Arabidopsis thaliana: one gene and its partners. The protein of the gene in region 3 binds, or shares a complex with, the protein of the main gene of each other region. Each region holds a gene or a part of one and is shown on either strand. Other genes may lie near its edges.

What was found.
Region 1: AT5G03220 (region 3) and AT3G01435 share a complex: the UniProt entries of both Arabidopsis thaliana proteins name them as parts of the mediator complex.
Region 2: AT5G03220 (region 3) and AT2G10440 share a complex: the UniProt entries of both Arabidopsis thaliana proteins name them as parts of the mediator complex.
Region 4: AT5G03220 (region 3) and GCT share a complex: the UniProt entries of both Arabidopsis thaliana proteins name them as parts of the mediator complex.

The regions. Positions count from the first base shown.
Region 1 is NC_003074.8:164,775-172,060, reverse strand, and holds AT3G01435 (uncharacterized protein), read left to right. Parts: upstream 1-3,772; 5' UTR 3,773-3,955; intron 3,956-4,007; exon of another isoform or gene 4,008-4,030; 5' UTR 4,031-4,076; coding exon 4,077-4,343; intron 4,344-5,031; coding exon 5,032-5,208; 3' UTR 5,209-5,547; downstream 5,548-7,286. Other genes in the region: AT3G01450 (ARM repeat superfamily protein), read left to right, coding at 682-939, 1,104-1,210, 1,309-1,441, 1,536-1,730, 1,871-2,158; PnsL3 (PsbQ-like 1), read right to left, coding at 2,654-2,752, 2,876-3,162, 3,307-3,583; AT3G01430 (NHL domain protein), read left to right, coding at 5,924-6,466. UniProt on the Arabidopsis thaliana protein: Component of the Mediator complex, a coactivator involved in the regulated transcription of nearly all RNA polymerase II-dependent genes.
Region 2 is NC_003071.7:4,012,290-4,022,127, forward strand, and holds AT2G10440 (mediator of RNA polymerase II transcription subunit), read right to left. Parts: upstream 5,758-9,838; coding exon 5,636-5,757; intron 5,299-5,635; coding exon of another isoform or gene 5,272-5,298; intron 5,137-5,271; coding exon 5,034-5,136; intron 4,948-5,033; coding exon of another isoform or gene 4,881-4,947; intron 4,784-4,880; coding exon of another isoform or gene 4,725-4,783; coding exon 4,612-4,724; intron 4,522-4,611; coding exon 4,397-4,521; intron 4,354-4,396; coding exon 3,961-4,353; intron 3,919-3,960; coding exon 3,824-3,918; intron 3,732-3,823; coding exon 3,657-3,731; intron 3,533-3,656; coding exon 2,561-3,532; intron 2,474-2,560; coding exon 2,159-2,473; intron 2,082-2,158; coding exon 1,917-2,081; intron 1,875-1,916; coding exon 1,756-1,874; intron 1,674-1,755; coding exon 1,463-1,673; downstream 1-1,462. Other genes in the region: AT2G10450 (14-3-3 family protein), read left to right, coding at 8,016-8,075, 8,217-8,309, 8,389-8,484. UniProt on the Arabidopsis thaliana protein: Component of the Mediator complex, a coactivator involved in the regulated transcription of nearly all RNA polymerase II-dependent genes.
Region 3 is NC_003076.8:763,770-770,810, forward strand, and holds AT5G03220 (Mediator complex, subunit Med7), read right to left. Parts: upstream 5,149-7,041; 5' UTR 4,994-5,148; intron 4,822-4,993; 5' UTR 4,816-4,821; coding exon 4,681-4,815; intron 4,600-4,680; coding exon 4,530-4,599; intron 4,366-4,529; coding exon 4,199-4,365; intron 4,112-4,198; coding exon 4,038-4,111; intron 3,909-4,037; coding exon 3,848-3,908; 3' UTR 3,666-3,847; downstream 1-3,665. Other genes in the region: AT5G03230 (senescence regulator (Protein of unknown function, DUF584)), read left to right, coding at 5,867-6,367. UniProt on the Arabidopsis thaliana protein: Component of the Mediator complex, a coactivator involved in the regulated transcription of nearly all RNA polymerase II-dependent genes.
Region 4 is NC_003070.9:20,633,559-20,641,560, reverse strand, and holds the start of GCT (RNA polymerase II transcription mediator), read right to left. Parts: upstream 4,182-8,002; 5' UTR 3,968-4,181; coding exon 3,944-3,967; intron 3,863-3,943; coding exon 3,789-3,862; intron 3,696-3,788; coding exon 3,556-3,695; intron 3,470-3,555; coding exon 3,383-3,469; intron 3,222-3,382; coding exon 3,134-3,221; intron 3,045-3,133; coding exon 2,967-3,044; intron 2,720-2,966; coding exon 2,642-2,719; intron 2,553-2,641; coding exon 2,473-2,552; intron 2,220-2,472; coding exon of another isoform or gene 2,165-2,219; intron 2,069-2,164; coding exon of another isoform or gene 2,034-2,068; coding exon 1,955-2,033; intron 1,846-1,954; coding exon 1,519-1,845; intron 1,278-1,518; coding exon 1,218-1,277; intron 974-1,217; coding exon 739-973; intron 573-738; coding exon 524-572; intron 444-523; coding exon 298-443; intron 58-297; coding exon 1-57. Other genes in the region: AAE18 (acyl-activating enzyme 18), read right to left, coding at 4,902-5,018, 5,112-5,321, 5,415-5,513, 5,606-5,731, 5,808-6,024, 6,102-6,196, 6,281-6,501, 6,580-6,656 and 6 more. UniProt on the Arabidopsis thaliana protein: Component of the Mediator complex, a coactivator involved in the regulated transcription of nearly all RNA polymerase II-dependent genes.

The DNA of each region.
Region 1 (7,286 bases), on a different chromosome or scaffold from region 3:
GAGAGAAGGAAAAGAAAAACATTAATTTCGCCCAAGATATGCCGTACAAATGGGTCCCCTCCGTTGGATCCATAAAACGACGTCGGTGTAAACGAGTATGACTACGACGACTCTACTACGAGTTGCGAACTGTTGGCCGGAAATCAATTTCGTCGTCTTCATCGACTCTTTCTCTCCCTGAATTTTCTCTGGCATTTCGAATTTATAGAGGTACGCGAGTCAAATAATCTTCACTATTTACTCTTCAAGTTAGTAGTCATCGATACCGCTTGACTCGCCGCTACTTTTTCTATTCTTCTGCGTTTTCGATCTTTCGCGGTTGCAGTAGTTTACGGCGCCGGAGTTAGATTTCGGACTGCGAGGATTTGTTTGAACTTTTTAGAGTCCTTGAGTGGGATCGAGGTTTTTTGCTTTTGTTTTGAGTAAATTTCGTAATTGTTTGAAATAAGATTTGGGAATGTAGATAGATCTCTGCTCTTTAATGTTATTGCTGTTGAACTCTCATAGTAATGTGTTTATCTTACCATTTCTACTTTGAAAGGGTTTCATTGGGAATACTTAATACTAAGCTAGAGGTCGAAAATTCATCTATAATCTTATCTTTGGTTTTGTAATCGCAGATGCTAAACTTATGTTGTTTGTACTTATAATGGCGTCTTCTTTGTTACTTTTCAGGTACGCATGGCTGCCAAGGCTTTAAAAGATTTGAAGAATCTTCCTGTCTCTGAGAGGAATATCGACTATAAAACAAAGCTTTTGGTTGGCAAAATGAATGGAACAGCTGAAGATAAACCACCACAAAACTCTGTCCCCTTTGATCACAATCATCCTAAAGGCGATGAGATTGAGAAACCTGAGGCAGAGAGAGTTATCGTAGAAATTGAGTATATAGAATCCAAAGACTTGAACAATGTAACCCAAGTTGATGCAGTTCTCAAGGTATCAATTGTTTTTTCCTGCTAGTATCCTATGCTTTACTGTGAATTCTCATTTGTAATGCTGCCTTGCAAATTTGCAATTATATTCATCTGTTTAGAATTTGGACATTGGAAGTAAGTTGTTTACCTAATACCATTCTGGAACTGCTTTCTTTATTATTCCAGTCACTTGTAACCGAGCTAGACTCCAAGGATTGGGTTTTGGTCTGTGATGCTCTTAATACCATTCGTCGTCTTTCCATATTCCACAAGGAAGAAATGCTGCATATGCTGTAAGTCATTTTCTTTCTACTCGTGATTATGATCAGTTTTAGTAGAGCGAGTTACACGTCGAGAGAATTTTCTAGTCTCACGCTGTCAGCTCTTACAGGGAGAAAGTGATCCTGTTTATCGTGAAATCACTGAAGAACCCAAGAAGTGCTGTAAGTAAAACCGCATGTATGACATCTGCTGACATCTTCAGCTCATATAATGACCATACAATCGATCAATTGGATCTCTTGGTAAATCATCTTTTGCAGATACTCTTGGAATTCTCCTCAAATAGCGGACATTTGTGTGTTCTTATAACAGTAACTCCGAATTCCCTTCTTACAGCTTACTCAACTCCTCCTTAAATCTTCCCAAGACAAGCGATTTGTTTGTGAAGCAGCAGAAAAAGCATTAGTAGCAATGACTGCACATGTTTCTCCTGCCTTGCTGTTGCCAAAGCTTCAACCTTTTCTCAAGAATAGGAATCCTCGGATCCGCGCAAAAGCATCCACGTGCTTCTCCCGATGTGTTCCCCGACTGGTAAATCAAACTGCACTCGATATCATAAAACCAGTCTTGTTCTTTTGTTTTGGATTTGTCATGTCATCACCATGACAACCAATTTGGATCCAGTCCATGTTCCCACCAACATCACCTTTCTTTGGCTGTGTAATCATTAGGGCATTGAAGGCATTAGAGAATATGGAATTGAGAAACTAGTCCAAGCAGCATCGTCTCAGCTCAGTGACCAACTCCCAGAATCTCGGGAGGCTGCACGGGCAGTCTTACTGGAACTTCAGACAGTGTACAAGAAAACTACTAATGTCGAACCGAAGGAGGAGCATCCAGAGCCAGTCACTTGGCAAATCTTCTGCCAATCAAACCTCTCACCTCTTAGTGCACAGGCTGTGATACGTGTCACCAATGTCGCAGGTGTGGCTCGAGAGGGTCTTGTTGCGGGTTCATGACAGTCACAAGCCCTCAGTTTGATATTGTAAGCCTCTGTGAGTAAACGTTGTACGACCACTGTTTCTCTATCTTTGGTTTATGGGTTTGTTTCTTTATTTTGTGTGTGAATATGTCGATGTGGTAAGATAAATCTCAACGACTCAACCGTTAGTTTTAGGCAAAAAGTTAGTCGGTTTATTTGATATATATCATGTTTTAGTCTATATTACATTGGTTTTCTTAAAACTTTTTTTTTTTTTGGCCAAATGTTTTCTTAAAACTAAGATTTCAATATTAAACATTTAGTGCATATACTCTTCTTTCTGTATCTTTGATTGAAAAATTAAAATCCAATTCGTTATAAATTTGATCATATTTTGGTCTATACATTACATTTTTTTTTTTTGATTACTAGATCTCAATATTTTTCCGCAAAGATTACAATTTATGACCACAGAGTTATCAACCATGTAGGATCATCAATAGCAAGTAAACCGGTATAAACCGAACCAGGATCATGCCATTCTGGTCATTACCTCTTGAAGAAGAAACTTTGTATCTTTATAACACGATTCCGTCTCTGCTAAGTTCTTCGTCTTAGCTGCATCTTCAAGCTGTGTCGAAACACCAAGAAAACAACAAATAAACATATAGGATATATCAGAAAAGAGAAGAAATTTTAAAAAAACAATAGTCTCTTCGGTTTGAACGAACCAGGACTTCATTAGTACACTTACCTTTTCGAAATTGTCGAACAATCTGTTGGCTAAATCAGTGAGAGGTTGCTTGTCTTCAGAGGCAGCAGCAGAGATGAGATTGTCGAAATCGTAAAACAAAAATGTGGATTTAAGCCTCAAGTACTTTTTCACATAGTTTAAAGTATCTGGTCCGATCAAATCCTCCATTGCCAAGAGATCAAAAGCATTCTTTTTAACTCTATACATTCTTCCTTTCGTCCCGATATCCGCTACATACACTCCTTTCTTTATGAATGTTCTCGTTCCCGTCTTCTCATTCACGATATCTGTATATTCAAATCGAGGACGAATTCAAAACCGGAAATCAAATGATTCTACCAAATCGAATTCTCATCTTGAATAGTTGTATGGCTCAAAATGTTCAAACATTTGAAGAAAGAAAACAATCAAGAATATAAAATGGCGCTTACTGTTGTAAATAGGAGGAATTGGAAGAGGACCATCAATCCAAAACCCATTGTCTTGTGCCAAGGAAACATTATTTTCGCCGAGAATTCCGGTAAGACCTATTGAGACAGCAAATCCTAATGTCATCCGTCTTGTGATCTGTACCGAATCCGGTTCTTGAAATTCTTCAGTTCTCCTGCAAGCAAACCCGCTGGATTTCCCGGTTTTACGACTCTCGGGTAGTTTCGGAAGAGACGGTAAAGTGTTGGTGAGACTGTTGAGGTCTATGAAGTGAGCCATTGCAGTTAGAGAGTAAGCTTTAGGTGTCAGCCTCTGTTCTTGTGTATTGTTTACGGTTTTTATCCGTTATAAATGAGAAAAGCGGCCATCACAAAGATTTTATCTGAACCAAGGGGTGTTTTCGTAATTCAATATTTTAACTACTCGCTGTTCCTGAATTGATAAAGTAGAGTTCGTGCCGTTTTACGTGACAAAAAAAACTTGTATCTTCTTTGCTTTTTCCTTCACCGATCTGTATTGCCGAGTGTCGCCGATTCCCCAAAATCTTCCCTCCGTTGCTGATCATAAGCACGCCGTTTCCAATCGAAATTCTCCGTGTTATTTCATCGTCTCTGCCATCTTCACTGTCTCGCGTCGCCGTGTTCGATTGAGGTACTCCCACTGCTCCGATTTGAGTATTTAGGGTATGTGTATGAGTGGATTTGACGGTATTGTGATATATCTCAGTTTGGAGTTCTCTCTCTCTGGTCTAAAAGAAATCGTGGAGAGTCCAATGGATCCGCAGACGCAGAACACTTCGTTGCAGCGACTCCAGAATGTTGAGAATGTGAAATTTTGGAAAACTCACTCTTTCCTTAGAGATTTTATTGGACGATTTGATGTGAATGTGTTTTTGTGTTTTTATTTTTGGTTTTCCGGGCAGAGAGTTGTTAAGGTTTTGGAACTAGCTGGTGGAGTGATGGAAGAACTCGCGAGCCCTTCTGGTCCCAAGAAAGAGTTCGTCAACAGCCATTGCCGAGAGTTTATGCAATCTATGAAGGTTTCTTACTCTATCTCTTCTTCAAATATTTTCTGATTTCTTTTGCATTAGTGTATTAATAAACTACCTGATCAAAGAACATTGGGGATCACTTGACACAAGTCTAGCTAGATTAGTGTTCTTGCTGACTCAATCTCTCTGGGGAATTGGTATCTTTTCTCGAGTGTTGATCGTTTGGGCTAATTTGACACAAGTCTATATTAGGGTTCATTACATTTCCTGATCAAAGTTAAGGGCTTTGTTTAGAATTTTGATTTTGGTTTTAGTCTTCAAGATGGCCGCTGCTTCTCGTTTTGTGATTCTTCTGTGACTAGTTAACATATGGGTTCATGTATCACAATCTCTAGGTTTGTATTCCTTTCCTGTTTCTTAGGATTTGACATTGATCCTTTATTCTTAGGCTTAAGGTTTATGAGTGATGGATGCTGATATTTTCATATTGGATGGAATCTCACTGTTTAAAGAACATTTGGGCTCTCATTTGACACATGTCTAGATTAGGGATCATTACATTCTGTGAACAAGTAAAAAGCTTTTGATTCTGCTTTTTTTCTAGAGATAATCATAAAGTTTGAAGATATCAGCTTCATTGTCTGGTTCATGAACTTGTTGATCTTTGACTGTACATAAATGTGCTATAATGTTATCGCCAATCCATAATAAGATGAAGTTCTTGTGAAACTTGCAGGATATACAAGTGACACTAAGGGAAGAGATCAAAAGCGCTTGCGAGTACCGTCCCTTTGAGAAATGCGATTACAACGCGAGAATAGCCAATGAGATCTGCTTCCAGAAGCTTGAATATGTTCTCACGCAGCTTGAAGATCTGAAACAAACTGCTGACCGGTATCCTTCTTCTGATTGATATTGGTATTCATAAAAAGGTTACTTGAAGAACTATACTAAACCATCGGTTGTGATATAGTTTCCAGATGAGTTGTAGACTTGTAGGTTATCCCATTAAAGTATGTCCGGTTTTTACGAATGAGTGGCTTGTTGCAAAAGTAAGATATTATCCTACTTACTATATTAGATTTTGCAAAAAGATTAGGTGATTTTGGTTAGAACATTCACTTGCAATGAATCTGTTCCAAGAATATTAGATACATTACATCCACTGGGAGTTATCAATTTCAGCTTATGGAGAAATCGAACCAATTTTGGGCCAGAGAGAAACGGACCAATTTTATTGCGGTTTAATGTATCGATCAATACTTGGAACCAAATGTGCTAACGTCAATTACGTATATGAACCCCTTCATTCATATGTGGTTTAATAAATTAATAGCATCAACAGCTGAAATTCCCGGTTAGATGTGATAAAACCAAAGCGGTTAAAAAGGGTTAATGAGAACCAATATTGCCGGGTTGGCGGTTACGCCGTTTTGTGCTCTTCTGTTTTAGTTACAGCTCAAGAGACGCGTTGATTGGAGAAGGTGATAGAAATCTCTTGGGTAGAGGGAGAAAATTAGGGTTTAGAGTTGGAGATGAGAAGAGGAACGACGATCTAAGGAGACAAAAGAGAGTAGCTAGATCAGGACGAAATTCCATATTTCCTTCGTTTCTGTTTCTCTCTGAGAATGAGTCATCAATCGCCGCCGATCGCTGAAGTTGATGCCACCGACGATATGCACGAGGCGTTGTTCGCGAAGCGAGGTTGTTGTTTCCTCATGCCCTGCCTTGCCTCATCTCAGCCATCAACTCGCGGCGGATCTGTGTGGTGGCAACGGATCACGACCGTCGACAAACTCGAACCCGACGAGCGATGGTGGATCCGAGGGTGGCGGAGGATGAGGGAGTGGTCGGAGCTCGTCGCTGGACCTAGATGGAAGACGTATATCCGCCGGTTCGGACGCAGCAACTGCTGTGGAGGAGGAGGAGGGAGAGTCGGAAACAGCAGCGGAGGATGCGGAGGTGGTGCAATGCCTAACCGGTCATCGGATCAGGGTAAATTCCGGTACGATCAGTTGAGCTACTCGTTAAATTTCGATGACGGAAATCAAACCGGACATTTTGACGACGAGTTCCCGTACCGAGATTACTCGATGAGATTCGCTGCGCCTTCCTTACCGGTTTCCACTAAATGCTCAATTGATTTCGATAGCGACATTGATAACAAGTGAAAGCCACGCGCTCGACTTTTTATGTTGTCGTGTGTGAGACCAAAATGAGATGGCATTTTGTTTCTTCTTCCAATATTTTTTTATAAATTAGTATTGACTATTGAGTATTATTCTGTCATTACCAATGTAATTACAAAGAAAAGCACCTTTCATCCAAGAAAAAATTTAAATATAGAAATAATTAAACAATTTTTTTTTCAAAACTCTAGAAAAAAATAAAAAATTAGGAACATAGGGAGTAAAAATTTTCAAACCATCAGGAATTAGGTTCATAGGATTTGGATTAGGGTAAAGCGTGTAAGAATTAGTGTAACACTAAGATTATCAGGATTTGGATTAGCGAAAATCGTGTAAGAATTAGTGTTCCACAACTACAAGGATCACTCGTTGATCTGTTTTTTTATAGGATCGCTTGTGTAGCCACCTCTTTCTCCTTTTATGGAATTCATGATGATATATGATCAATTTTTCTCTGATTTTTGTAGTTACCCGTAACCATCCATATTTGCGACTCTTTATTTCTTTGTCAAACAAACTACAATCTTATCTTTTCTTTTGAACTTTTTTTCTGCCACGTATGTTTCCTTGTAGTTGATTTGATCTTACCCTATCATGAATTTGGAAAAAGTTTACCTTTTCGAGGGACTCTATATATATTTGGAAATCACTGACATCATCAAGCACTTTCACCACTTTTGTAGATTCGGAGGAGTAGAATTGCTCGAATGTAATTTACCTGTTTCAAGTCTTTGAATTGGATTTTTAGTGGTGCGTTTGGTTGGATCGCGTTAGGCTTAAGGCAGTAGGCTATCATAATTTT
Region 2 (9,838 bases), on a different chromosome or scaffold from region 3:
AAGGTCACCGGAGTTGTAAAATTGCCTTGTATAGGAAGTAAAAGTGGGTGAGATCTGGTTTTTCAAAAACTCTTTACTGCTTTGGGGTCACTCGGGAAGAGTGCCTAAGAGAGAAATCTCGCTAGAGTATTTTTGTTTTCTTCTTTCGTTGATGTATGGTTTTCTCTGGTTATAAATGGTTAACAGTATAGTTAACCGAATAAACCCAAAAATATGGGTTAATAAATGTTGAAGTATCAATTCAGGGAGTTTAGATAGAGATCTTTTGATTCATGGAGAAATAGATATAAAACTTTTTTTAGAAAAAGAGAAAAAATGTACAGACCTTCTAAAGACTATAAAGTTGTGCTATTATTTGGGATGCGAGAAAAAAAAATAGGAATCTACAGCATGATTGTTTCAATTTTGAGGCTATAGCTTTTTATTTTGCTTTATAAATCTCTTATCATGTCATGTAAATCAATAGGATACTTTCGAGAGCTTTTTTTTTTTTTCTTTTTTTTTTCTCTTACCCTTCTCGTTTCTTTAGAAACGATCATGCTCTAATCCAAATCGGATATTAATTTCAGTTTTTTTTTTTTTCTGTTTAATTAGGTTTATAAATTTTGCTTCGACGATATCAATAATTTTGATTTCGGACAAGACTTTTGATACCACTTTTATCAAGTTCTCTCTTGCCTTGCGAGTTTAGATCTCCATCTATTGGTGATTGTTGATGTCTTTGGTTTCTTCACAAATCCTCTATGTTCCCACCAATTAGTTCGACGAGTAATATCTATACCACTTCTTTATGCACACACATGAACAAAGATCCGGCCACATCAATATGGGTGTCGTCAGAGGTGGAGCTTCCCCGACGATAATGATACTTGAAGAATTTTTAAGCGACTTCCATCACTTGATCCGAAAGAATATCGACGATTTTTGGACATGGGTTCGAGATCGACAGAAGGAAAGACGATTCTCAACATTTTGGTGAATTCTAGCGGTTTCCCGCGAATTCAACAGCGGTGCTTGACGTCTCGGCCCGTGTCATAGGGCAAAACACTTCATCAACACGTTTCATCAGCAAAATCTTTATGAGTGGATGTTTAAATTACTAAGGATGATTTAGTTTTATAGGCTTGGCTTCATTTTCTGTAATCCTTTTTTAAAACTTATATTCCAACCTTTTGGGCTCTATAAATGAAACATGTAATAAGAAAAAACAATAAAATACTTTAAAATCTTTTTTAAAAAAAAGGCTTTGTGCCTAAATATTTCAAGATAATTTATTATACTATCGGTTTTGAAACAATTATAATTTCTTGTTAAAATATATACAATAAGAAGACATGAGCCACACCATACAAATAAATGTTACTTCTATCTCAAAGGAAATAAAAAAAAACCTAACTTGGGCTATAAGGCTTCCCACCTAAAAACTATCTTGTACGGTGAGTGAGAAAGGAAGTATTAGTCCTCATGAAGCTCTTAGAACCGTTTCCCAAGCACCATACTTGGAGCTGAAAGTGCCTCCACCATGTCTCTCTGCGTACTCAACCATTGTCGCTCTCGCACAATCATTCCACGTTTGAGCTATTCCTTTCGAAAACCCTGGTTCTGAAAATTCCTTCATGGACAAACTGAACCTTGATCTGGTTCTCGCGGATAGATCCTCATACTTGTGTACACTGAAACATGCAGATATAAATCCTTAAGATCATATATATTTACTCCAATCGTTGTTACTTGATTTCTAAGAAAGATTCATACCTAGTGTCAAAGGAGATTTCCTCGAGAACTATCGGAGAACTATACGGATAATCCATAGGAAATAGTAAGCGTAAAGGTTGAATCTGTGCCTGCATCAAACATTTAGAGACATAAAAAATCTGAGCAGAGTGAGGAAAAAGAAGAAGTTTGAAGTAACTTACAATTTTTCCAGACTTGTAATGATCTTTGAATGTGGCACTGAGAGCCACAGGAGCATAAGTACAAGTGACGATTGTTCCTAAAGAATCTTCATCACATATCTCTACCACTGTCTCTACAAGTCTCCCATTTGTTTCTTTGATTTCTTGCAAAAGGGCATAACCAGGCTACAAGATTGAAAAAATGGATTTATTTCGATGTTTCATTTGTTTTCGTAGTTCGATACCAATAGAGTAGATTTTACCGCAATATTGTTAACTTTCAAGCCAGATGATGTTGTGGAAACAACTTCAGATTCAAGGCTACTCAACTGTTCATAACTATCAATTTGTGATGACATATCTGGCGGCACAATGTTGATTGATCGCTTCATTCTCTTAGACAGATTTGTTTCTTCGTGTGTGGTAAAGTTTCTTGTCCTCTCACTCAAATCCTCGCCTAAACCAGCTCTAGATCCTCCACTAGAAGGGAACGATCCTCCAATCATGTCAACCATACTAATCACCGAGCTAATCTCACTTACAGATTCTGCCAATGATTTTGGTGATGCTGCTTGAAACTAGAAAGCCACACACATTAAAAATTAGGTCAGTAAATAGGAGAAGGTAAAGAAAGTAAACTTAGATAAGCTATAGAGTTTACTTACCGCTTTTATAAGTCGATCAATAGGCCGCTCTGTGATTGGCTCGGGCGGAGGAACAAATAACAGAGGAGTTTCTTGTGTGCCAAGTTTACTAGAAGAATCTAAAGTTGAGTTTATTTCATCAACACCAGAAACTGGAGACTCAACAGATATAGGCATTTCAGAATCTCCAGGAACTGGAGATGGAGCTGGAGCAACAAAAGCCGAACCACTAGAGTTCAATGGGGTTCCGGTTTTGTTAATCGTCGCAGGAAGAATATGCTGGTCAACTAACTGAGGAGAAGAGTGGTTCTGTATCTGAGAGGATGAAACGTTAGACTCTTGCTTTGGAACCTGGCGCTGACTCGATGAGACTTGTTGCTCAAGCAACCTGGCTTTAATGTTGACCCTCTCCCTCATCCTCACATCATTCATCTCATTTGTCTGCATTTGATGTTGATGATTCCCTTGTTGTGGTTGTTGTTGTTGCATTTGTCGGTGATGGAATCGCTTCTGCTTCTGCAACGACTGAACCGAACTGATATTTGTGTTTACGGCCCGAGGATTTTGTTTAACAGAAGGTAACATGACATTTCCTGAGGAAGCCATAATGATGTTCTCGTCTCTTGGATCCAACTTAGGCCTTATTTGCAACAAAGACGAGGCCTCATTTTGGCTACTTGGCATCAACCGTGATCTCCTTTGCTCCTTATAAAGAGACTGTGACACATGGACTTGAGGACTTTGGGTTTGCATTGCTGTTTGAGAAGGAGGAAATTGTCCTTGTTGTTGCTGCGTTGGCCTCAAAACCATGGTCTGACTCTTGGTAAATTTCAATATGTGGTACTCATATTGACTAAACTTGTCTCTATGTTTCTCTGATACACTGCTCCTATGAACATTTAAGAAAAACATAAGGTGTTCCATTGACAATTTTCCCGCCTTTAGCTTTTCAATCCACTGAGCTTGCATCGGTTGCGGCGGAAGAGATTCAGTCTGGAAACATTAGGTTTATTAAACCAAAAACAACACAAAGTTTTAGAAAAAAAAATGATTAAGAAAACCATTAGAACAAATTCTTGTTCCACAAGCAAAACAATTAGGTTATAAAATAAAGTACCTCCCGCAATTTTTCCGCAACTCTTTGGTGCATTAAACTGAGAACAGGTAAACACATCTCTTTCAGTTTTTTTATCTGCAGGACATATCAGAATGGGAATCAATTGAAAACAAAATCAAACCCTAATTGTGATGTTAAGAAGTGAAGAGCAAAGCAAGTGAAGATACCTTCTGATAGGTCTCCTCCTGCCAGTTTCCGGCATTGACATTTACCGTCTTTCCCGTAGAATCTTGAGATGCTACAATGATATTCATTATTAGAACTAAAAACATTATCACAAGAGTTAGTAAGAGAGGAAACATACTAGATGGATTTGCTCTCTCTAATTGTTGTGGCTGGTTCTGTTGATCTGTTATGTTTTGTGTTTGGCGCAACGAACTTGCTGCTTGAAATTGATTGGTATTGTTTTGTACAAAATCCAAATGTTTCTGTAAGTTTCTGTTCTGAGGATCCTGCTGCATGGGGTATTGTTGTCGGTATTGTTGTGACATCATTGGTTGAGATTGTCCTACTTGTTGACCTCTAGTCATACTTTGGAGGTTATTCTTCTGTTGAGACATTGCATGTAAGGTAACATTATTGTTCTGCTGAGACGAGGATACCTGAAAAGCTCCTTGTTGGTCTCTATTGTTTGGTCGTGATGTTGGAAGATTCGTCAGTTGATTAATGAGTTGCTCTTGTTCTTGTCGTTTCTGTTCTTGAGACGGCAGAACCATCTGTTGTTGATGACTAAAACTGACCCGTTGTATCGAAAACTGATTTCTGGTCAGTGATTGAGTGTTTTGTTAGCTTGATTGAGGAAAAGGCTGTTGAATAGGTTGTTTCAACAAACTTTGCGGATGATGTTGCGGCTGCGGTGACCGAGCTTGTTGTTGCATGTGCGAAGGTCGTAAATTACCATGGCGGATTTGATTCATTTGAGGCTGTTGCTGCTGAGGAAGAAGTTGTTGCCTACCATGTATCTGTCTTTGAGAACCGGGAACGGTTATAGGGACCTGACTTGGCAAAGCAGATGACACAGAGATTGCTCTGTGTGTTTTGCTGTAACCATTGTTGGCTCGTTGTAGTCTGCATATATGGCAACAAGGCGGGAAGAGATTGAGCTTGATTCACAACTACTTGAGAAGCTGATGTTTAGATAAACACATAGAAAAAAAAAGTTAGTTAGTGATTTCTTTGTTATTAAGCTAAAATAGTATAATTATGAAACCAAAAACTTATTACCTAGAACTCTAGTGTAAGTTCTCTGTATATAATGCAGTGTTTCACTGAGTTTCCTAAGGTAATCATTCTGAAACATAGCAAGGGGACAATGAGTAAGATATCAAATTCAGATTCTGAAGTTAATAGATGGAGAAACAATTTGTAGTTTAACACCTTATCGGTTGCTATGCTATAAAAATTTTCTTCAAATTTGGAAGCGATGTCGTTAATCTTATATTCTTCATGTGCATGAAACTTTTCCTTGAACTTTTCAACTCTACACATACATGAGAACAAAATATCAGTGACTATGAAGAATTTGGTTATAACTGATATTCAAGAGGAAGTGATACCATTTTAATTGCACTAAAAATACAAAACAGAGAAAATAATCCGTAGTTAATATTCGAACTTACGATAATCGTTTAGCGAACAAACACTGAAACAATTATACATATGTGCCAAGCAATTGTACATAGAAGCGAGAGTAAAACAAGATTCTCCTAGTGAGGAAGAGCCTAAATGCAGGTAATGAGGTTAAAAGAATATGCAAAACTTAAAGTACAAAAGGTTGAAGTTAGGTTTTGTCAACTATGATAAACATTTATGCACAACTCTTATGCTTTAACTGTTGCAATCTTTATCATGCGCAAACTACAAATATCACATCGAAAGCATGACCAAGAAAACCTTACTCTCTTTCATGAATGTTAATAATCAAATAAGAACAATGAGTCCAACAAAAGAAACATGAAACTCTTGAAAGAATGGCTTACATTTTTGAAAGAACCTTTTGCCGTAATTCAGGCTCATGTTGTGATCTCCAATCAATACGATTATTCGCAGCATCACGGTTTCCGCCTTGTTCATTAGGCTTCCAGTTAGTATTTCCCTCCATTAAGTTATGCGTCCTAACGGGGAGATGTATGTATAGGCTTTGACCAAGAACCGCCTCGCTAAACCTTAACAAACAAACAAAAGAATGATTAGAGAAATTACTCAACATGGTAACACAAAACAGATAAATATATAGTACAAGAAAACGACAAAAGAGTATTCAAAAATCAATATGCATATCACGCTAACAACCTATCGCATAATATCACACAACACGTATTATAATATTTGTTGGTGCAGGAATTAGCACCTCCGACAATACTAATTTAAACCGAGGAATAATGTGAATAAAATCGAGAATTCGATTGAACCGGGGTATCCCGGTTAGCCTGTTAATGGGCCTAAGTCATGAGATCGCCCGAAGACTTAAGTCGACAATCAAGATCGCCATAACCAACTTCTTAGGTCGTGTAAAGGGAAAACTTCCATTTAAGAGAAGAGGATCTCATGAAGAATAGAAGTAATGAAGATTTAAACCTAAGATAATTAGAAGTTTATCATATTTTGGTATATTCGACCTATTGTATAAATAGAGGGGTCAAACCCCCCATTGAGATCATCTTTAACCTAATACAAGAGACTACTATTACAGAGCAAACCCTAGCTTTTTGTTTAAGCAACCTAGTTCTTTTCCTTTGATTATTTGTGAGCTAAGAGAGGAGTGAATTTGTCTAAATCCCTTAGTACAAATTCATTGTTTGATTACTGAATCAACAATATTTAATATATAATCCTAACATTTTAACAATCAGCACCCAATGTCTAATCTTATACAAATGAAATTCAGAAATACAAAAGTAAAGGTGATACTATGTTTCCACAGATCCTACCCTCACCTTGGCAACTCGGTTGGATTTTAAGAAATAGGACTAGCAACAATGGATCCGGCTCAACAACGATCTCAAACTACAACAATTTAGATTAATCAATCAAGATTATATTCCCTTAATAATTTGTTATTTAATCTAATAACTAAACCAAGTCTAATAATTTAATATTAGTTGCTTAACACGTAATTGACTACGCCACATCCATTTACGTGACCAAATACTCCCCGGTTTAATAATTAAACCAACGCCACAATTCAAATCACGTACATGTCAATGCTACTTCTGGTTTGACAATTAACCCAACGCTTTCTAATAAGCCAATAACTGACTATATCGTCTTCTTCACTAACACAACCCAACTGACGCCATAACCGATCAACTCAAAAGGTTCCTTAATAATCAAGTTTCAATTCATGGCCGTAACTATACGTAATCCCTTGGTTTAGGTTGGTTCAATAATTAAACAACACAACACCTTAACATGAATACGAGAATAAGGTTTCACCGTTATCTCACTCTGCAACGAAGAAGTAGAGGATTCGGTATCACAGACCCAAACAAAGCACCAATGATAGATCTAGATTCCGGTGAAGAAGGAGGACGAAGAAGGCTAATAGTGGCTCAGATGGTGATGATTAGGGTTGGATGTTACGTGACGATAACTTCACGTCACCACTTAACACGATCGGGACCACAACCACAAACTACAACGATGGTGAACTCGATAGTGGAGGATGATGGTGACTTGAGAGTTGAGATCAAATTTCTATGATTTTGATAAGGTTAACATTGCGTGCTCGTAACATAAGCGGCGAGAGGAAGAAGACATTATATACATACGTACACACTTCTCACGTTTAGGTCTTGTTTTTAATGAAGATGGGCTTAATGAGAAATTGGGTCTTAGCTTTACCTCCTTTCGCCGTCTCCAGTCACGCCGAGACAGCTCCCTTTCATGCTTCTTCCGCCAGAATCCATCGCCGGATACATCTCGAAGATTGAATCAGAGTATTAAGGTAATTCACGACTATGAATCTTCTGGATTAGCGTCAGTGTATTGTTTATATCGATGTTTGCGACTATTTTTGGTTTAAGTTACTGGATTGGTGGTTTTTGAAGAAGCATCAATGTTTATAGGTTTCAGTTGTTTCAAGAACCATTGGATTCATTACTAGTAGTCTATGGTTTCATGATCAAGTAATTGTTGAAACATCGTAAATATCAAGTTTGTAGTAATTGTTCGAACTATCTATGTGAATTGTAGTTTTTTCTGTGTAGTTTACCTTGAGATTATCCACTGCTCTATACCTTGAAATTGAAATAGGCTTCACACTGAAGTTATAAGGACTTGGGGTACAAGAGTCGTTGGTTTGACTCTCCTTGTGATTGGTGCTATGAGAATCAAAGAAGCTTCTGAGATCCCATAACCATGTGTTGTTACTTTGCCACTAGGATTGTTTACGGCCTGCAACCGGAGGCTCTGATGATGGTACATATTTTGTCACCTGAAGACGTTACTAGTAATTATGTTCTTTGTGCTGCTTTTATTCATTAATTGCTTAAACTAAATGTTGTCGTTGCAAGATCTTTGTTCTTGTATGTTGGACAATGCCAATGTGCTATCGCTGAGTTGGATGCATTGGGTGATGAATTATACAAGGACAGTACCCTGATTATGAAGATTCTTAGAGACAATCTCACTTTCTGGACTTCAGATATGACTGTAAGCATCAACACAATATACATTGATCATTGTTCACTAAGTTCTGTAATTGACATGATTATAACTCTTTGGTCAATAGGACGAAGCAGGAGATGAGATCAAGGAGGCAGAACCAAAGGTCTTGTGCAAATGTCATTCTTGTTTCACTGTCTTGTCGGAACCAAAGCATAGTTAATTCATATTCTAGTACTCTCTTGATTAATAATAATTGGAAATGTATTATAGCGAGTAAAAGTAAACATGTGCAACCAAGAGTTGTTTCTTTTTGTGAATATGTTTTGTAAAACCATGTATTGTAACCAAACAAAAAGGATGTATGTATTGTTTTACAAAATTTGAATTTTTTTCTTAGAGAACCCCATTAGTGGTTTTAACCATTGGAGGACAAAAAACTTCAGAGCTCTTATGCAAGTTTTTAAGATTGAAAAAAGCTAATTTTATTCTTATAAAATGCAGAGAACCCATCATGGGGTTGTAACCATTGGAGATTCTCTTACAAATCATATATAGTCTTTTCTTTATTAAAATCGAATCACTATAAGCTTTTAGGAAACGTCAAATTGTCACTAATACTCGGCCCATTGTTGGGAATAAATCTGTATAAGTTTAGAATTGGGCTTGGCAATAGTCAAACGGCAATTCCAATTGTCCTTTTTTTCCTCTCGCACGAGTGTATTGATTTTTTTTTAACATATGAATTTATTATTTACTAGATATTGATAATTTCTTTAAAAAGTTAATTTTTTTAATTAATATTATTTATATATGAATAACATATTCAAAAGATACATTTTAGGTCTATAATTTTATTAAATAAAAAATTGATTTTTTGTCTTTAAAATGATTTATATATATAGGCTATTTTTTTTTAATGTATGATACACCTTGTGACGATTTTTATAACTAAAAGTTATATTTAATTTTAAATTGTACTTGTTGTGTTAATATTATTTATTTTGTTTAGTGTTTACAATTGTATAATTATATTTTGATAGTTAATTCTAGGGTTTCACCCATAGTATACCATTATATAATAATGGCGATCCAGACATGTCCCATGTAACCATGTCCAATGAAATTAATCATCATTTTATTATTTTCTTATAAAATTCAAATACTATAAATATTTGAAACTTCAAAAAAAAATTAATATTGATCTAAACTTTATAATTGTATATTGATTGTTATATCGAAGATTTCACCTGTAGAATATCATCCCATATTAATATCGACCCAAATCCGTCATACCATATAACCCCATCCTATGAAATTAAACATCATTTTGTCATAGTTTTATAAACTTCAAATATTTATAATAATAGAACTTCAAAAAAAAATTATTTCGATCAAAACTTCATTTGATTGTTATATCTAGAATTTTTATGTGGTATATCGTCCCATATTAATATCTTTTTTAAGTATTTATAATGTTTAATTTTATAATATTTAAACTTCTTATAAAGTTCAAATATTTATAATATTTAAATCTTCATTAAAGTTTTAAAATTATATATTTAAAACGTTTTATA
Region 3 (7,041 bases):
TTAGGCCCAAGTTAAACTATCATGGGCTCATTCGTAAACTTAGTTCTAATGGGCTCTCAACATCAGATCTTAATATTTATAGAGAGCATGAGGTCAAATGCGTAGTTCCGTATATGAGAATTATGAAACTGAACCCATAAGCATTTTAATCACGCTGAGGAAAGTAGCCACTTCTCGTTTAACTAATACGGTAATACCTCATTCTGCCTGTTTTATTGATTTGTTTGGATATTTTGGTGCAATTCGATTAAAAATGTACCTAGAAAACAAAATTAAAATTGAGAAAATAAAAAACGTACCAATTGATAGAAAAAAAGATTATTGTACGCTGAAAAAGTAGAAAGAACTAGATAATTTTTAGTGATGACAAAAACGAAAATCTTCTTTGTGAACTTAAATCGCTGGAAAACATGCCATATGCAGAGTTAATCAAAACATTATTAGCAATCAATTGATATATGTATATATAAATATAAGATGCCTTAGCTTTTTCTTATATATATAATTAGGTTAATTAGAAAATAAGTCAATGGCCTGAAAAGGATTGGATAAGATAAGGATATTTGAAAGGTTGCTTTCATTCTTCTTGCAATTTCCCCCTTATTTTAGTTTTCTTAGCTTATAGAATTCATCCCTCATTTTCCGTCATTTGATATTATAACATAAGATGCATGAGGACGACAAAAATAGAAATAATAAGTGAATAGGTAGGTATACCATGTACTTGTCACTAGACGATTCGATATTTTACATAGAGATTAATCTATTTCTAGGGAATTATTGGCACCTTATGATCGAACATGTCACCTAAAAAAAGTGAGCTTATCACATCGCATAAGTTTTGCAAAAATATTCTTAAACTAATTTTTTAATGTATGTCAGAATAATGTTTCATCAATCGAGAATATGGATTAGAGATATAATTCACTAGCAAAATTTTACAAACGGATTCTTTTTTCTTTTTTTTTTGATAACCGAAATTGATATATGCTTGTATAGGGTGGTCGAAGCTAAGGTCTACCATAGTTAATTGCTAATTTAATTATTATTAGTTGTAAAACACACAAGATGACATCATTATTTGATCTAACACAATAAAAATAGAATTAGGCAAATGAAAATCGGTTTAGTAAACGACAAATCAACAATGTCATGTGTTTTGTTTTCTGATTTTGGTTCAATTTAATTATTTCAAAATAATTTTCTTGATATCCAAAGATCCATTTTTAATTCTTTTATGAGAGAGGTTAGAGCTTTTACCCTCAAAGGCCTCGAAGCTATTTTTTATTTTTATTTTTTTTTGTAATGTGTCATTTTTAGGAGTCCATTTTTCGAACATAACATAAGCATAGATACAATACGGAGCTGATCATTTGACATAATATGAAATTTTCCAACAGTTATTTGTTCGGTGATAAAACAATAATTGAAATCCCAACAAGTAGAAGATATGCAACTAACAAGAAAGATTACGATCATACGGCTGAACAATGAGAATTTGATGTTTCTTAATCACGTAGGATTCTATGCATAATTAGAATATATAGGAATATTATTAAAGACAAGAGAAGATTTAAGAAGCTCGATTATTATCTTACTACATGCATTATTATTATTTGTTTTTTTTCTTGGTACTTGTGTTTTGTTATGTATCTCAAAGCTCCAATTATGTAGAGGTCATCGACCAATAATTAATCAATTGACCACACTACTCTATATTTTAAATAGTAATTGGTTCAACAGGCAAAGACGCTCTTTTATTTGACGATTATTTTCTAGTATAATAAAATCTCACAAACGTCATAATTTAGTTGTAAGGAAAGCAATAGTATAAAAGAAGTATAGGTAGTGTGAGTGCGACAAAGGAAATAAAACACATACAAGACTTGAAACTATTTATGAATTATGACTTCTTTGTTTTAGTAAGCTAAAGTGATACATAAATATAACATATTATATGTGGATATGTACAACAACAAATCTACAATGAATGTCTACGTGCATGGTGGATACACATCTTCTATACATGCACGCGGCATATATGATAATTCATGCAAAATTAAAATAAAGTATCGTTATAGGAGTTATTAGGCCATCTCCATTGGTAAGATACTTTAAAAGTTTCTAAAAAAAAAAAATATAATAATATTTTATTATGATTTAGTTTCTGTCCAATTATAAACACACATATACACATAGTCTCTCAATCATTACTCGAAAGTTTTTCTGCAGAGAAACTATTCTCAATCTCTCTTCTATCTCTCTCCTACTCTATTATTATTTTATATTTTTTAGTTAATAAGAAACTATGTGACAGACTACTAATGGAGATGCTCTTATTATCTAGTTGTGAATTTTGTAGAATTGACATATGTATTATACACAACTAGTTATGAATCTAGATTTTTTAAAAGATTTTATAAGGATTAAATCCACCTATTTTCATTGCTATATATTAACCTACAATTATATCTATAATGCATAATGCATTGGTTATTTATGTTTATTGTTTACAATAATGGCAATGAACGTCTATACAAAATTACAAAGAATATATCTAAACAAAAAGTGAATGTCCTTTTATATATGACCCTAGCTATAAAATTTATTCGAGTCCCCCACATGTTTTGTTATGTTCAGATTATTGTCCAACAGATTTACCAATTATAATATGTTTCCTGTTTCTACAATAATATCATCTACTTGTAATTTGTTGGCTATTGCATTTTCATTTTGTCCATCATGCATTTGGTAAAATATTAGTAGTATTTCGCAAGATGTACCAAGCGTCGTTAATATCTGGTCTCTTTTGTCCATTTTCGTCTTTCAGCATCAAGAGAATGAAAAAATTGGAGAGCTGAGTGACGTGTCGCGATACTGACGCCTGAAATATCCGTAATTTTCAAATTGAGATGAGGTCCAGTGGGCCAACTTATGTTGACAAGTGATATCTCACCTATTATTGGCCCACGTAATCCTTTTATTATCAGGTGTATTTTAAATTATATGTAATTATTTTGTATTATTATAATTTAAAGAAAGTCATATCAAACAGCTGAACACTAAATAAATAAATTATAATTCTTTTTTAAACACTATGTTTTTGTTTTATCTTGATATATGGTTGACAAAAATACAAGATTGATAAAGAAAATGAGTCATTGTGGAAACAAAAAATGATTCCACAATTTGCTATTTATTTTGATAGAAACTATTTAAGTAAGTGAACAAGGCATGTCCCTATTTAGTCCACGTGAAGTAATCGGACGTGTCAATTTTGTTTACTGAATAGAGGTGTAATAATCCGACGTGTCATTCATCTTTGGACTATCCAATAATGTGTGCACAGAGTTGGGCCATGTTCCTCTGTGGACAATCCCACTAGTAATCCTCATACACAATAGAGTCATATTATTGAAATTAACTGCAATGAGTTTTTAGATTGGATAAAACTAAAAGAAATGAAACTGGCTAATTGCAATTGGATAAACTGAACATTTATTTTTAATTTGTATTTCTATGAGTTTCTAAAACATCGGTTCAGGTGTCAATCAACTGCTTAAATCAAATTCTTTATTCGAGATATTGACAGATCCATTCACATCAAATGTATGTTCGATATATCATAGTTCCGTTTCGGTTGTATCACCGGTTTATTCTTTCTCTTTTCCTTCAAAAGAAAACCCGGTTAATTATGGTCTAATTAATACAATCCTCATACTATTCAGTCTTAGTTGATTGTCAAATTAACTTTGTTTTAGTGTTAACAAATTATAATAAGCTTCGAAGGTCAATAACAATAACAGACAGATTATTAATTGCTAATTTACACACACAAAAAAAGACTCTATTGACCATCTAAAGTGAGGTAAGCATCCTTTAGAAGTCGCTGTGCTTCTTCTCTTCTTCTGCGCACAACCAAAAACATCAAACGGACCCATAAGAACTACCAACAAAGTTTCTGAAAAATCTTTGAACAGATGATGGATTGATATAAGCACACCATTAAGTACAGTATACAAACAAAATATGCACACCTTTTAATGTCTTCCACAGCTTGTTTCCTCTGTTGAATTTGAAGTTCCATAATGTGAATAAGCGTTGCTCTCGCCTGGACATAAGAGAAGATGATCAAAACAGTGAAAACAAAAACTGATGAAATCATGTTGTAGTTAAGCGAAGATGAGATCTTCTTTACTTGGTGAGGCCTCAAGGAATTGAGAAGGTGATGCAAATTCTTGAAGATAGAAGAAATTTCACCAATCCTCTTCGCATATTGAGAAGGTCTGTCAACAAGAACATCAGCAAGCTCCAATATATGTAACTGTAGTTCTCTATTCAGTGACCTGAGTTCATTCTTGTAATCTACACACAAAGATATTTGAAACTTTCTTCAACGAAACAAAGAGGCAAATGAACTCATGTAATAAGTTTGATTCCAATTAAGGGAAGAACCAAAAACCGTACTCTAGAAAGCAAATAACAATTGGGTTTTGAGTTTGATTCACAAAGCTAAAACAATGACATACCAAGATTAGAATCTTTGGGATAAAGTTGAGGCACTCCTTGTTCTTCTAAGCTTGGAAGAACATCTTCAGTCTACGAACCAAAAAAAATGAAAACTACTAAAACACATAAAGATGAAGATTTTAAAGAGGGGGAAATGTGGAGGAGACTCACAGTATAGTTGCCTCCAAAACAGACGTAGGTGCCTTCAATCGGAGGAGGAGGTTCAGGAGCAGAATTAGGGTTTTCTGAGTAATCCTTGTAGAGTCTGTAATATGGTGGAGGAGGCGGATACGTAGCTGTAGCCATTATTCCCTACAGATCCAAATAAAAAACTAAGCAAAATCAGTAACAGATTCCTAAAATTAAGGTTTCTAATCGATGCAACAAACGATTCAATCCAAAATCTAAGACTTTACTCCAACGATTCTGGATAAAATTTGCAACCATGGTACAAAGAGAAATTAGGGTTAACAAAAACACGAACCTATTGGGAATGCAGAATCGGAAATTATAACCAGACGAGAATAAGATCGAAGAAGCTTTTGATTTTGCTTTGGAGAAGACGGCGTAGAGCAAGAGGTCAATAATGACGAAACGAGTTTTGATTTTCTCGTAAATTTTCGGTTACGTGTTCGGACGGTTCGTATAAGTCTGGTTTCTTTTGGTTTAGTTTCGGTTTAATTAAAACAATGGCTTTTCAGTTTAATTCGATTTCTGCTGTTTGGATGTGATTAATCACCCCACTAATGATGTTATTCTTACGTTTTTACATTTAAAAAATAGTAAATATTTTTACTTTATAATAAATAAATATATTTTTTGTGTATTCTAGATTTTTTTGTCAATTTAAATAGAAATTAACAAATATTTTAATAACAAAAAAAAATTAAAACAGCTAAAAAAATCATATCTAACAACATTAAATCTTAAGATAACTTAAATTAAATCAAAGACGAAGATAAAAATTCCATTAACATCATCATTTTGATCATAAACTCATAAAGTTTTTACTATTTAAGAAAAAGAAAAACAAAGGACGAGTGAAACAAAAAAAGAGAGCTCACGATAAGAACGTGAGACTTGCCACACCTTATAAACTTTTTTTTTTATCTTCTTTTGTACTTTTGTCGTTTACTGTGTAAGTCATAAACTCACATAAGTTTAACCCAATGAGAGAGCTTATCTCTTTACTACATTTCTCTATAAAAATGATCATCTCAACACATTTCTCCTTCAATCTCAAATTTCACAAAAACCCTCTCAGATTTTTTCTACAAGCTGATCAAAACCCAGAATCCAGTTTTCATAAAAACATCATCTTTCTTTTATTCTTCTTTACACGCTCTGTTTTTCATCAATGGCGTCAAGGAAGCTTTTTTTTGTCAAACCTAAATATATCTATCCAGAACCAAAACCAGAGATGTCCGATGAGAATGTCTTTGAATTCGACGAATCTGATATTCATAACTTAGGCGATCATCAATTGCCGAATTCATTCGACGCGAAAAGATCGATATCAATCTCTCGGTTACGGAGAAAACCGACGAAAACCGGAGATTCAGGTAACCGGGAGATTACAAAGACCGGTTCGCTTCCGGTTAATATCCCCGATTGGTCTAAGATCTTGAAGAGTGAGTATAGAGGTCATGCGATACCTGACGATGACAGTGACGACGATGACGAGGATGATGACGATAGCAACGACGGTGGGAGACGGATGATTCCGCCGCACGAGTATTTGGCAAGACGGAGAGGATCGTCGTTCACGGTGCACGAAGGAATCGGTGGGACGGCGAAAGGAAGAGATCTAAGGCGATTGAGGAACGCGATTTGGGAGAAGATTGGGTTTCAGGATTAGTAATATAATAAGTATGTAATTAATTATAACTCTCTATAGGTAAACTTTTAATTACTTAGAGATCTTAAGTAAGGACTTGGTGTTTTTTTATTGGAGGGGTTTAGAGGATCGTTATAGTTTCGGTCCGAAGGAGAATTTTTCCGATTTCCTTTTGGCGTTATTTTTGTTTTTTGGAGTTTTTGATCATCGTCTATTTTTCTTTTTCTTTTTTGGATATGATCAATAATATTTTATATTTTTGTGTGTTTCAAATATGTTGAATTTTGGTTGTTGTGTGGTTACTTCAATTTTTACAGAAATCTACAGAGAAATAGGCAGTGGCGGAACTAGAACTTGCAGCTCTAGGGGTCAAAATGTATAAAGGAATGATCATAGGGGTCAATTTATGTATTTCATTGGTGTTAATTTAAAAACTGTAGCAAAAAAATAACTAAATTTCATAATTCCATGGGGGTCATATGAAGAAGATAAACGAATGCTAAGATCTATTGAACTCGGTAGAACTAAGGAAATTTGAATATAACAAAGCTGGATTGAGTTTAATTTCAAATATGTTAATTTTGGATCAATAATAATCCAAAAACCAACCAACTAACGAAAACCGGACTAGTCACTACAACAGTTCAAACTAAATTCTTCACAAAACATCTCTTCAAAGTTTGAAAACCTTAATA
Region 4 (8,002 bases), on a different chromosome or scaffold from region 3:
TACATCAGCAGAATCTGGAGGAAAAACGAGCACATGCGACTCTGCAGTTCCCGGTGGCTACACAAACATAATAAATGACATAAGAATTGACACCGAAAGCAATATGAGTGAATCAAAATAAAAGGCATGACAGAAATGGGGAAAGGGAAGCAGAAAACCCTTCCTACCAAACATCTCTGAGATACAGTCTAGATATCTGAGCTAATACAGGACCTACAGATCATTCACCAGCATAGGGAATGCAGATAATAGTTTCTTGATTATTATTATGATCAGTAACAGAAGCGGGAAAATTACCTCCCCGAAAGGTAAAGCATCGTTCTCAAAGAAGTCACCAAAGTCTCCAAACTCTGAAAGAAGTGCCTTGATATCCATGCCAACTTCTCTGTCATCATCATCATCATCAGCATCCCAATCCCAACCAATTTGATCATTTTCAATGCCTGGAACACCAGTTTATTAGTTTTAGTGGAAACAAATCCTGACATATATGCTTCTTGAATAGGTGCATCAGTGACAGTACCTACTTGACCGAATGACTCTGCCATCCCTGTTCGCGGCCGCTTGGAACCCTGTAAAGAATGTTATGTTACTTATTGGTTAGCTTCGTGAATTATTATAAAATAAGGAAAACTACATTATATGATGTTGATTAAGCATGTTAGTGCTACAATCGACAATTCAATTTCCTCATCAGTACCATGCAAACTCCATCCCTTCCATAGATAAAAGTCGTACCATTTTTAGGCGATCATCATTACAAGTAAGACCAGATTGCCTACACGTCAAAGAATCTGCATCAGCGTCAAGATCACCAGTTCTTGACGTCATCCTCCAGCCGCTCCCGCTGGAAGCGCTACTTGTTGAACTAATGCTGCTATTACGGCTACTACCACTGCTATTGTAACCATTTTTTTCATAAAACCCATCACTCTTATTTTCAGACGCACCAAGGCAGTCAAAATCACCAGCCCTGCATAAAATAAAGTTCACATATACAGGGATCATGGACAGACTGTTATAATGAAAAACAAAATCGTTACGTATAACATTGGAACAAAACTCGGAAATGCCACAGCTCTCACTCCTATGGTGCTTCAAATAATGAAGATTACAAAACATTCGGTTTCTCAGAACAGTTTGGGCATTTCAAGACCTCTGTTTTGTGGATTTCTTTTGATCTTCAAATGTCGACGAGATAGATGAAAAAGACTCACCAGTGCATAAACAAAGATGAGCCTGCTAGTGACGGGCCTATCCAGTTTTGAAGCCAAAATCTGCAAGTATGATTTCACCTTGCATCAGCTCCAAGCTGAGGAAAGATCACAACTATTACATCTATTTAACATGGGTCTGAAACAATTACTAAAACTTCCACTACGATCACACAGAGTCAATTTGTTTTAATACATACATGGAATTCAACAGAAACGAAATAAATTTTATGTATAGCCAATCTGGATCTTACCGTTAAGTACTCAATGAATTCTAAATAACCACCTCACCTAGTCAATTTACCTTTTCAAAGAAAATTTCGCAAATGCCGACTGTAAGATTGGTACAAGCACTGCCTCAGCTGGATAGATGAACTTTTTTTCACAAACTGATGAAAGATCTGATTGTCCTTTACGGTGATCTTTACTCCCAACTGAAGGTTCAGGACACTGGTTATGGGGCAAGTTAACTGCAAAGGTCGAATTAGCTTGACTTGTGTTGTCATTTCTATTTTGGCAGCAACCAAGTGTAACTTCCACGTAGCAATGATTGCCATTTATCAGACGGGACCCACGACCAATATGAGAAGGGAGACCAACATATCCAGTCGAAGTTTTTAAGTTTCCAGAACTGTGTGAGAAAAAAGTATTAGTTGAGAAAATTGGATTAATCAGATTAACGGCTACGCACTCACAAAAAATGTTGACTTGGCATTCGAAAGCAAAGGTATGAAATGTACCTGAAGTAGACTTGCTTGACAAGGTCATTGGGACAGAATCCAGTAAGGCTGCCCCGCATTCCATGAGGAGAAACAATAACTGGTGGGAATAACATAGGCCTGTGAGAAGTGTTTCTATCAAATAAAAAGCTCTTATCTTTCTTTAAGCATGTGTAGAAGGCGGATTTCATTTCAGGTATCAATTCAAAAAGTTTGGCTTCATAGAATTACATGTAGCATAATCTATTATCCTCACTCTTGGCCAATCCCAAACATTTACGAAAAGCTCTTGTGACATGCAAAAAAATGAGGTGTTAAATCTTTGCTTGATGAAGCTAGGTAGCAGTAGCACTAGACTACACTAGGTTTCTTTTTGGAGTGGATGCATTGAAAATTGAGTTCAAAATGCTCTCAATCTATACAGTATTCTAACAGTACAAAGCAAGAAGAGGTCAACAAACATCTAGAACTAGTTCCATCAAAATCGTAGACAAGTAGGATAATTTATCAATCCAAATGATGATGGAAAAATAACTAACCTGGAAGCCTATAACTGGAGTTTTTCAAAGAACTCCTTAACATTCTTTCAGCATCGCCACTTGAAAGTGTGCGGACATTCCTTCGTGCATAAAATATTATAGTTAGTTTCAATAACTATGTGAAGCACTAAACCATAACTGAAACAGTATAACAAAAAGCTTTACGGACTTGGCAGATATAATGACATGGACAAAAACTGCCTCTTCGGTAGCAGCAAAGATGAATTCAACAGTAGGCTGTCCCCTCCTACATAAATATCCACAGAGCATTAGCGAGCCACAGAGCATTAGCGAGCCACAGACCTAATCATAGAATTCTTTGGATTCTAAGAATTACACTCAGGAAACCTAGGTCTCACAGACCCTATTTAATGAAAGCTATAGGATAATACATAATCGAAAAGCCATAGAGAAAAAAGACGATATATTTGCTAATAAACCATCAGAGATTATAACGCATGGTCTCGCTTATATTGGTAAGAGGTTGCAGATACCTCAAATATTCTTCGCTTTGAGGGCTGAATTTTGAAAACACATCTCCAAATCTCATGTAGGAAATTCCAGATAATGCTCTGTGGCGATATCAAACAAGTTAATATGATACTCTAATCCATTATTTCCTTAATCCAACCATTATGTCTGCAGATAATAAAAAACTAACCTTTCGATGCAATTACGTAAAGACTGTGAAAAGGCAACTGATATCTCTTCAGAGTCCCCAGGTGCTACCCAAATTCCTGACGCAACAACTTTCAACAGGAGAAAAAGAAAAGTAAGGACAAGTATACCAAGATAACCATAGACCACAGGCATGTTCACTAAACAGTCATAATCAGAATAGAGACAATATGTTTGAATCTATTGAGGCGACAAAATACGATGAAGAAAATAAATCATAAGGAGAATATACCTCTAAGCTTTGACACAGCAGCCTGAGCTTTATCAGATATTGATGAATGACGCCCAGGTAGAAAAAGCCAAAGCTTAATCTTTTCATCTGAGCAGCAGCGAGGAATGATGGTTAGATACAACTGTAAATAAAGTTACAAAATTTAAAAGTACCAGATTGAGATTTAGCATTACCAGGGTTGTATAAACCTTGAGATGGATCCCAAGGTCCAACAAAAGAATTGGTCCAAGTGGTAAGAAACCCTTCCTTCTGCAACCGTAGATGAGAGGAAAGTACAAGATATGTTGCAACTTCATTCTGCTCAGCTCTTGAACTGAAAAAAAAACTCCAGAGTGACCAGACTAATTAGTACAATGTCAATAAGGAAAAACTAAAACAACCCATTGAAAAAGCTTAAAGCTTTAACCTTCTATCAAAGCCAGGATTCAGCTCAGTTTCACTTGGAAGAAACTGAAACCAAGAAACATTATGTAGACCACCCTGTAGAAGAAAAATCATCATGTATTACCAATAAGTCAATTTTCACACACAATGGGAAAAAGATGATAGAATAAGACTTACAATTCTGAAAACATTAGTCCACATCACTTGGGGATAGATACAACAAGTTCAATCCTTTTTTTTCTTCAAATTATAGGCTATAACCCCAAAATCATCGTCTTGAAGCGCTCGGAATTGGAAGACGTTGTCAATTTCTAGCTCGATCTTCTCTTGATGTTGCGAGGTTTATATCTCTCTTTTGATCAAAACTCTTCAATACATCATAATCATCTCAACACGAAATCTCTCGTGGTTTTCATAAAACCAGATCCAAACGCGCTCTTTAGGGTTCTTTTTTTTTTGTTGCTCTTACTAATTCTTTTTTTTTCTGTGGCCCAATTTGTTTTAGTCAGGCCCAATTCATTATTTTCACAACACTCTGGTTCAAAAAAAAAAACCGCCAACCACAAGCATCATAAAAGAGTTTCCTCCAAATAAGGTGTTTAATATCAAGTGTTTTTGAAGTTTTGGTATTAAGATCTCATTCTTTCGAGTTTGTTTGACTTGCATCAATCAAATGAACCAAACAATGCTATGGTTTTACTTTATATTTTCTAGATTTTGTATACCACGATATAGCTAGACCTCGAATGATCTTAACGCTATCTTTGTATCGTTGGGTGCGGCTAGTTGTCTTCTGGTTCCATAGGTCATTCGTGGTGATACTATTCAGATGTCTCAAAGCCTTATGGGATGTATGAGTATCGTCCGAAATATTTTTACAAATTTAAACAAAAGATAATCTTGAGGAAAATTAAGATTATAATCTGATATGAAATATATACACCAAACACAAACACAAACATAACAAAGTCAAAGTGTTTAGTCATGTAAATGTGAATCAGGCTAGAGAATTCAAGGACCGGTAGATTTGATTTAATCGGTTTTCTTATTTGGACCGAGCAGTACCCAATCATGTGTAGATCAACTACTACTCAGCAGATCTTATTTTATTCTAGTTAAACTTAAGATCAAGGCTTTATATTCGACTTCGTAAGGATAGTAGTTCTTGCTTAATCTGATCTCTCAAGACTCTTCTCAGTAGCTTGCTAGAAGCTGTTCTTGGAAACTCCGGCACAATCTTCACAAAACTCACCTGCAATATTTTTGCAAAATCCATTTTTAAGCACACAAAAAATCTTATAATAACTTTGAATTTATAGAAAAACTCATCAAAGATATTGATTACCTTGAAGAGAGGATTAAGATCTTTTTGAATGGTTCTTGAAAATTTCATCTTTAGCTCTTCTCCACTCTGTTGCTTGAACCCTTCTTTCAAGACTGCGAATATGACCAGCAACTCTGGACCACCGTTAGGTGGTGTTAAGGTGACTGCAGCTGTCTCAGAGATGCACTCATCAGCTTGATCACACACACGTTCGATCTCAATAGAACTCGTCTGCGTTATAACAGATAAACAAAAGATGAAAACTTGAGAAAAGTTCCAACTCTAATCGAAGTTGGGTATATAGACATACAATGTATGTAGTACCTTAATGCCTCCAAGGTTCATGGTATCATCAGCTCTACCTTGAACATTGTAATATCCTCCAACAGTTCGCTTCACAATGTCACCGTGTCTTCTAAGTCGCTGCAGAACGCAACAGAACAGAGGAATCGTTTAACTGACGTAAGTTTGCAATTTTGTTTAGATGTAAATATAGAAGTTCTAAAACTACTCACTGTTTCCTTATACATGGGCATTCCCTTGAAGTAAACCTCGTCGTGATTTGCATTCAGAAGTCTATCCGTGGCCCCAAGGTGCTGGGGGAACAAACCGACTTCTCCAGTACATGGTTGATCATCCGGCTGCAAAAACCAGTCTACATCAATCTCTGGATATTCTAAGAAAATACTCCAAATGTCTAAAGTTTCAGTTTGTCACATATGGGACGCCATTTTCATCGAAGATGATGATTCTAGTTGTCATGGATGGTGTGCTAAACGCTCCAAAAGCCTGCGGTTGAAGAGGGCTTCCTATGATGTATGACGAAGCAAGTTCCGTGCCTCCACAGCATTCGATCACAGGTTTGTAATCAGCTTTAGAAGAAAGCCAGAGAACATCGTCAACATTGGAAGCTTCTCCTGTAGTGGCGAAAAACCTAACAAAACACAACAGCTTCTAAGTTAAAATTTCTCGTATAAACCCGAAAACAAAACAAGGTTTGTTGCTCCTTACTTAATCTTTGTCCAATTAAGCCCTTCCATACAGTTTGTTCTCTTCCAAGTTTTCACCAAGCTTGGAACAGTACCAAGAACTGTAACTCCAGCATCCTGAAGTAATATCAAGCACAAATAAGTGAGGATTTATCGAACCTTACTAAAATTGAAAAGGAGACAACAATGGAGATGTCTTGCCTGAACAAACTTTCCAAAACCGCGGCCAAGGGGAGACCCGCTGTAGAGAGCGAGAGTTGCACCAGTTAGAAAGCAGGAGAACATAAGAGTTGGTCCCATTACCCATCCAAGATTTGTAGGCCAACAATATGTGTGACCCACTTGGACATCAAGATGAGCCCATCCATCACAAGCACTACGAATTGGTGATAGTTGTGTCCACGGTATAGCTTTCGGCTCACCTGGTTAAGAAAAAAGAACTAATCATTAGATGCATCTAAACAAAATCTATTACAATTTGATGATCACATTATTTTTACCTGTAGTTCCAGATGAGAAGAGAATGTTAATCACAGACTCTACAGGTAGATAAATCGGACGATAGTAGTTCTCTCCACTGCAAGCAAAATTGGAGCATGTCTTATCTACACTCTCTGAGTGATTGCAAGTGTAGAGATGTAAACAATTTACCTAGAATGGGGTTTGGCGTTGGAAAGAAAATCCATCCATGATACATCCTGTTCTCTTAACTGAACATGCAATTCAGTACCTGAAGCCGGGAGGACAATGACCTTAGATGGAGCAGCTTCAACCACTCGACTACAGGAAAAAAAAAGAGACAAGTTTAGATATAATTATTATGTTGTTCATTCATTGAGTTGCAAAATCAGCCACAGAAAGATCAATTTTGTCACCTGTATAAAGGAAACCTTCGACCTCCTCTGAGTATATAATCCTGAAAACGCAATAAGAGATATTTCACATGGTACGGGATAGATACAAGGCGAAAAGATGTGAGTCAGGGTGTGTCACAAACCTGAGTGAATATGCCTTTTGCCTTCGAAATTTTCAACCTTGTTGCTATTTCTTTAGCTGCAAAGCTGTCTGCGATGGAGACAACAATGCAACCAGCTAATATGATTGCGAGATATATAATCACTGCATCAACTGTCATTGGCATATCGATTGCAATTGTGTCACCCTTTTCAAAACTTCCACTTATCGCATTTGCCACCAACCTTTTCAAGTAAATGTATCAAGACCACCACTGGAAGCTTAATAATGAGATCACACAACAGAATGACTGATAAAGAGTTTCATCTTACATACATTACTTGCTCCCGAAGCTCTTTAATGGTCATTCTATTGACTGGAGAGTCATCAAACCCTTCATTACGCCATACAACAGCCACACTATCATCCTCCTTTTTGGGATGGCTTGAAGGCATCAGACAACACTCAGCGATATTAAGAACTGCATCAGGGAGCCAAGTCCCTTCAGGTTTTGATTTGTTAAGGATACACCTCGGAGGAGTGTGAAACACAAGTGAAAGCTCATCGATAACAAATGACCAATAAACCTGAAAATGATGTTTACATTAGACCAAACCAGAGCTGCGACAAAGATTCTTTTGCTCGACAACATTCAACGTTGATGCTTACTTCAGGGTGTTCAACTGAGAATCTCCGGAAAAGTTCAAAACTTTCAAGAGGGTTCTTGTATGAAGGACCAAGAAGTCTTGGTCCGTGATATTCCATCAGCTTCCCCAGATTGGTGGACTTTGACTGAGATCTAAACACACACAAAGAAGAAATTGAACAGACAATCAGCTGTATTTTACAGATAAATATCAGAATTTCGAACAAGTTCATGAAACGCACAGAGAAGGAAACCAATAGAGAGGAGGGCCATGAACAGAGGAGTCCCAGTTTGAATAGACAGAGTAGTAGAGAAGCTGATGC